Bombyx mori: one gene and its partner. The protein of the gene in region 2 interacts with the protein of the main gene of each other region in a biochemical or structural test. Links are inferred from orthologs where the notes say so. Each region holds a gene or a part of one and is shown on either strand. Other genes may lie near its edges. The genes, in order: protein hairy and C-terminal-binding protein.

What was found.
Region 1: the proteins of C-terminal-binding protein (region 2) and protein hairy form a complex in vitro, tested with the Drosophila melanogaster proteins (2 studies listed by BioGRID). The link is inferred for Bombyx mori from reciprocal best matches to the Drosophila melanogaster genes CtBP and hry.

Annotation. Positions count from the first base shown.
Region 1 is NC_085114.1:6,574,140-6,577,698, forward strand, and holds part of protein hairy, read right to left. Parts: intron 1,430-3,559; coding exon 1,334-1,429; intron 884-1,333; coding exon 589-883; intron 1-588. UniProt on the Drosophila melanogaster protein: Pair-rule protein that regulates embryonic segmentation and adult bristle patterning. Transcriptional repressor of genes that require a bHLH protein for their transcription (e.g. ftz).
Region 2 is NC_085132.1:10,087,648-10,091,480, forward strand, and holds part of C-terminal-binding protein, read left to right. Parts: intron 1-114; coding exon 115-214; intron 215-1,547; coding exon 1,548-1,678; intron 1,679-3,186; coding exon 3,187-3,345; intron 3,346-3,833. UniProt on the Drosophila melanogaster protein: Corepressor targeting diverse transcription regulators. Hairy-interacting protein required for embryonic segmentation and hairy-mediated transcriptional repression.

The DNA of each region.
Region 1 (3,559 bases), on a different chromosome or scaffold from region 2:
TTTAACACAAGGTAGGCTGTGAGCTCGTCCACCCAACTAAGCAATAATAATAATAAAAAAGTCAAAACGTCAAAAATGTATGACAGAAAAAAATGTGAGATTAAAACCGTAAAAATTGTTTTAATTACGTCTACGACTCGCGGAATCTGAAATTATTATGTACCATTACTGGGTGCATGAAAAGCTTTGAACTTGGATACGTTTAACTACTATTTTAAAGTGAAGGTGTAAAATTTGTAACTATACTTGAGACCTTAGAACTTATATCTCAAGGTGGGTGGCGCATTTACGTCGTAGATGTCTATGGGCCCGAGTAACCACTTAACACCAGGTGGGCTGTAAGCTCGTCTGTCCACCTAGGAAAAAAAAAAAGTAAAATAAAATAAAAGTCAAAACGTCAAAAATGTATGACAGTAAAAATGTGAGATTAAAACCGTAAAATTTGTTTTAATTACGTCTACGACTCGCAAAATCTGAAATTATTATGTACCATTACTGGGTGCATGAAAAGCTTTGAACTTGGATATATTTAACTACTATTTTTTTAAATATTTAAAGTGAAGGTGTATAATTAACAATGACCGTTACCAGCAATGAAAATTGTGGAATGTTGGTTGCCGGGGTCGTCTGTATCCGAAGGCGGTGTGGGTGCACTTGCAGGCCTTGTTCCAGAAGTGCTATTAACGCAGGTTTCCAAATGCCTGACGAGCCTTCTCCGCAATGCAGGCTCCATGCCTTGGAACTTTGCCACCTCTGTGACGCACTGTCTATAGCCGGCCCGGAACTTGTCCGGTGAAACGGCACCCTCTGACCGTAGACCTTCTAGATGCTTCACTGTCATTTCTAATATGTCGGCTTTTTCGAGCTTCGAATGTCTAGCTGGCTGTTGAAAGAAAAATAAACGTCACAAAACAATTCTAGAACATTTTTTTGAAAGGGCATATAAAAAATCACTACATAGTATAAAACAAAGTCGCTTTCTCTGTCCCTATATCCCTATGTATGCTTAAATCTTTAAAACTACGCAACGGATTTTGATGCGGTTTTTTTAATAGATAGAGTGATTGAAGAGGAAGGTTTATGTGTATAATAATATCCATTAAATAGTGGAAAAACCAATAATAAATTAAAGTTTCCGAAGCGAAGCGAGGGTGGGTCGCTAGTAACCTATAAATATGAAGTTATAATAGAAAACACGAATTCGAAATAAATCGTCTTGTAAACATGTAAATTTTCAGTTTTGGGAACATCTACGAAGTCAATTTTACGTACATAATTGAAATTCTACAGATTAGCATCGGGAAAATTATTCGTATATACACATATTACTTACATCTTTTTTCATCGCGTCTAAGATCAGCGCTTTCAACTCGTTGAGACAGTTGTTGATGCGCGCCCGACGTCTCTTCTCCATAATTGGCTTGTTACTCTGTAACAAATGGACATGTTAATTTTTTTAAATTAACCTTCCTGTTTATTATTATAATCAGTGTAGAAGTGTATTTAAAAAAAAAAAAACTAAGTTACACTTTTGATATTTTAAGCCATTCATTTTTTTATTGTCATGATTATTATGATTATTATTATAAATGCTGTTTGCGTTAACAGTATTTAGAAAAAAAAAAACGAAAGAAGAAATTGACGTGTGTGCATAATACAATTATGTTACCGCACTTGGGTAAAAAAATTAACACTTTGCTATTATGTTCAAACACGCCTATTCCAAGTAAGAAGGAATAGGAATAATATTATTATAATATGTTACATGCGAATGTGCTTTGTGTATCAGTAAATTTGCATCCACTTATACACGACACTGATCACGAGATCCTACACGCAATGTACGGCAAAATACTTATACTTTCCGTTACATAATTATTCTACTTTACATCTGTCCTTTTTGTGTATTTCTTTCATATCTATATGTAGATTTGTTTGTGTTTAAGCGTCAGTTGTTCGATTATGTCGAAATTTTCTAAGTGTTTTCGTAACTTTAAGAAAGCAGCAACCCACAATAGTTAGCTGAAGATTTTTCGATTGCGGAGTGCAGCATAATAATACATATTTAGATCTAGTCGAAAGGGGCGATTCTCGTAACAAAAATAATAGTAGAAGCGGCTGTAAAGATAGTAGTAAATAGATGCTTTTTATTGTTCTACTAGCGACCCGCCCTCGCTTCGCTTCGGAAACTGTGATTTATTATTGATTTCTCCACTATTTAATGGATGTTATTATACATATAAACCTTCCTCTTCAATCACACTATCTATTAAAAAAAAACCGCATCAAAATCCGTTGCGTAGTTTTAAAGATTTAAGTATACATAGGGATATAGGGACAGAGAAAGCGATTTTGTTTTATACTGTGTAGTGAAGTAACAAGACGATACCCGACGGCATCGGCAGTGGGTTATAAAATCAGAACCCTACTACCCATTCCTTGACACATGAGATTGAAGTCACAATTGTATTGTGTTATAAGGGCTGTGCCAGCTTTCAAACTGAAACACGCAGTTTCTCGCCGTGCTCACGATATCCCTTTAATCACCACTAAAATCCTTTATTCATCAAACATCATCATTTTACGAGAGCGTGTCTGTCATAATAGTACTAATTTTAATTTTATCAGTAATCTAGATAGGACGTGTTTATAATGTACATACATATGTAACAATAGAATGAAAATTACGAAACAAATTAGTGCTAAATATAGCCTTACTTATCTTGTTAACGAATGCGCAAAAAGAAACCGTGGTAAAAACAGACACGTGACAGACGTGATTAATGTCGTGTAACAATACGAATTTGATGGCGCGTGTGTGTCGCCTCACTTCAAGGTGAAGGTCGCGTTTAGTCGTGAGATCCACGATGCGCGCCTCTTTTGTCGTGACGCGGTCATTACTCACATGACGAGTTAAAATTCTACAATACATTAGATAATGGTTTAGATACTTATGTAGTTTTTTTTTATTGCCCTTGTAGGCAGACGAGCAAACCGCCGCACCCGATGTGTGGCTACCGTCGCCCATGTACATCAGCAATGCCAGAAGTAGAACGAAGCCGCTGCCTACCGTTAAAAGTTACATACTGTATATAAATTTCAACTCGAACGCCTTAAAGTTTTGTTCGTTCAATCTCATTTTATTTTTTTTATGATTGAAGTGTTACAGGATGCCTGGAGGCCTTTCCAGTTTCACCAGGACAGGTGGGCGAGCAAAGGCTCAGCCAGGAGGGGTGGGATTTGCTAACAGCTGCCCGAGCGCCTCCGAAGGAGACCTAACAACTTAAGATTAGCTGCTTCGCGAATGAATCTACTACCGGATCGGAATCGCGAACCGCTGAGAAGATCCGGCGAGAAACTCAGCGAACTGATTTATAGGTTAGGTTGCACGTCGAACTCTTTGTCGAGTTCGACGAGTACGGTTACCGGGGTCCCTAAGCCTGCTCCTAATATTAGAGCTGAAGGCGTCTAATGCAAAGGTTATTGGATCTGATGGATCCGTAAGGACGTGTCTCATTTAAGTATTGTTCGAAGCAGAATAACTTTGAAACATAGCAAA
Region 2 (3,833 bases):
TTGTAAAATTTTCATACACACATAGATACAGGTCTAAGCTAACTACAACGCAAAGTGGAGAGTTCGGAAAAGGTATTTATGGGTTTTTTAAAATGTATAATATTTCCGTTACAGGACTTATTATTCCAGAGTGACTGTGTCTCACTGCACTGCAGCTTAAACGAGCACAATCACCACCTCATCAACGAGTTCACCATCAAACAGATGCGTCCAGGTAAGCCTTTTAGCTTTAAATTGCTCATAAATAATAAATAATGAGCGGTGAATGGCTATTTGGTTTAAACGACATTTTTGAAACGTTAACAGGAGAGCCATTTAAAGTTTAAAATTTGGAAAAAATATAACAAAAAAACTACTTCAGCGTAGCCTTAAATTTCTCAAAAATAATAATGAAGGGTAAAAGGCTGTTTGGTTTAAGCGACATTTTTTAAACGTTAACAGGAGAGCCATTCAAAGTTTAAAATTTGGAAAAAATATTATAACAAAACTTCTTCAACTATTTGAATGGAGAAAACTTAATTAAAGTTCAATTAAAAGTATCGAACTGTTGACGCTAATACCAAATAAAACGGAACTTTAATTAAATGTCCCGTATTAAGCGAAATATCGCTTAAACTAAATAACGTTTCACCCCTCGATATATATACTAATATTATAAAGCTGAAGAGTTTGTTTGTTTGAACGCACTAATCTTAGGTAATACTAGTCCGATTTTAAAAATTCTTTCAGTGTTAGATAGCCCATTTATTGAGGAAAGCTATAGGCTATATAACATCATGAGACCCATACAAGTGGAGCACCAATAAAGAATGTTTCAAAATATTTTCAATTTTTACGTAAATTAAATGAGTGGGGCGTAAAATTTAGCGCTATGCCAAAGTAACTATTCCACGCGGACGGAGTCGCGGGCAAAAGCTATATTTTATAAACTACAAAAAGTACACACTAAAGACATAGTAAAAATCTAACATTATCAAAACAGACTGAAATAATCTATTATCATTATTAAACTGATCAAATCAAACTGTAATAGTGTATCTGAACAATTGTATTTATTGTAATGTAATTACAAAACAATGTTATTACTTGCATTGTTTACTTGTTCACAACACTATAAAGAAAATGGAAGTATCAGTAGCAGAAAGCATGTTATCGTTTGCTTTTTACGATCGTGGACTGAAACCCAGTTTAGACTGTAGCGTTTAAAGCCTGGCTACGCGGAACATCATACTGTGTGACGTCATTTGGGGCTAAAATGTACAACAATGCTGTGTTGTCATTAGTGGTTTTTTTATTATCAATTCTAACTAGATAGAGTAGATAGAGGCCGTTACAACAGATGGGAGTATATATTTTGTCAACAATTATGGGCTTAGTACAAGTAGAATAATCGTCATTTTGAGTGAACTCGAAATTATTACTGCTTAAACTGCTGCTGTTTATGCTGTTTATGACTGCTTCATTATTGTAGTTTGGTGTCTTTACAATTTCATCCAAGTTCCACTGTGTCTTCTATATCTGGTGACGGTTCCTCTCGTATGTTCCAGGTGCGTTTCTGGTGAACACGGCGCGCGGCGGGCTCGTGGACGACGAGGGGCTCGCCGCCGCGCTCAAGCAGGGCCGCATCCGAGCCGCCGCGCTAGACGTGCACGAGAACGAACCCTTCAACGTCTTCCAGGTACGGAGCCAACGCATGGGCTGATCGTGCCTCTCTCTCTCGCTCAGGAGGAACGTGACACTTTTTCGTGCGTGCAGCCGGTGTTCAGCCGATTTATTAGACGTTGTCACGTCAAAGCTCATGGCTAATTTGTGGTTAAGTGTCTACTTATTTGCTTATAGAGATGTTAACGTGATTGCCGCTACCCAGCGGCTACCCAATATCAAACACATATATAATATAAAAAAATAATTTAACTGTTTTACAATTAAAACCATACCCCGCAACTTCTCAACCTTTTTTCAACTCTAATCTCTATTAATTAATCATTCGCAAAATAAGCAATATTTAAGTCACAAAACAGAGAGTAGAGCTCATCCATACTACCTGGAGCCACTGCGGTCATCCACAGTGCGTTTCCAGAGGTCTTTTCTGTCACGTACCGTCCGGCTTTGGAATGAGCTCCCCTCCACGGTGTTTCCCGAGCGCTGTGACATGTCCTTCTTCAAACGAGGCTTGTGGAGAGTATTAAGCGGTAGGCGGCGGCTTGACTCCGTCCCTGGTATTGCTGAAGTCCATGGGCGACGGTAACCACTCACCATCAGGTGGGCTGTACGCTCGTCTGCCTAAACGGGCAGTAAAAAAAAAAACAAAAAAAACAGCTCTAGTATTTAGGGTGTCAATGCAATAGTAGATTGTTTCATCGTAACCACTAAGTGCAAATTAGGAATTATAAATGAGTGCACGCACGGGTAGCCACCACCACCCCGCCTATTTCTGCCCTGAAGTTGTAATGCAGTTCGGTTTGAAGGGTGGAACAGCCGTTGTACTCTAAAAACTGAGACTTAGAAATGAACGTCTCAAGATGAGTGACGGAATTTACGTTGTTGATGTCTATGGGCTCCGATGATCACTTAACGCCAGAAGTATCGTTAGCTCGTCCATACATCTAAACAATAAAAAAGTAAAGATGAAACATTTCTATCTTGTTTGTCCACCTCTAATGTAGATAATAAGTGCTGTAGACATGTCCTTACGAATCCATCAGATCCATTAACCTCAGCACCGGACACCTTCAGCTCTAGCACTAGGAAGATTCCTTAGGGATCCCGGTAACCGTACTCGTCGAACCCAGCAAAGAGCTCGACGTGCAACCTAACCCATACATCAATCAACCTGCTGAGATTCTCGCTTTCTTCTCAGCGGGTCGCGATTCCGATCTGGTAGTAGATTAATCCGCGAAACAGCTGCTCTTGAGTTGTTGTTAGGTCTCAAATCCCACCCCTCTTGCCTGAGTGAGCCTTTGCTCGCCCATTGGTTTTGGTGAAACTGACTTCTGGGCCACTATTATCTTTCATTCCTAAAAAAACATAACTACGCTCCCATACAGCTATAGTCGATGATTATATTATAATGATTCAATATTCTGTTGAACTAATTTCTTGGTGTTGTAGGCTTATTTGAACGGTCACCGACCGACATTGTCCCTGTCAACCGCGTCAGCACTGACGTGTTCTGTACTTTTGCAGCAGGGTCCGCTGAAAGACGCTCCGAACCTGCTGTGCACGCCGCACGCGGCCTTCTACTCGGACGCGTCCGCACAGGAGCTGCGCGAGATGGCCGCCTCGGAGATCCGCCGCGCCATCGTCGGCCGCATCCCCGACTGTCTGCGGAACTGCGTCAATAAGGTGCGCCCACCGCTTGTGTCGATTGAGCTCCTCATCAACTGGAGCCGGTCATCGTTCGTAAATTAACCCACAGACACAGCCCTCTGAGTTTCTCGCCGGATCTTCTCAGTGGGTCGCGTTTCCGATCCGGTGGTAGATTCTGCGAAGCACGGCTCTTGCTAGGGGGCAGTGTTAGCAACGAAGGGGGGAAAAGGGACAAAATACAGCGTATAAAATAAAATACTGATTTCTTTCACCATTAGCTAGCACTGGTAGCGTAGATTAATATTATTAATACGTTTTCAACTTAAACACATATTCATGCTAATTTCAAAATTTCGGAATAAATATTACAATAAATATGAAGTTCCGGTATTTTGGAGGCATATCCATATTATCCTCTACGTTTGAAATCAAAGACCTTACCTTACCCTAAATCAATCTACCTACTCCGACCTCTAGTTATTATATATAATTTACTGGTGATAGGATCTCTTGTGAGGCCGCGC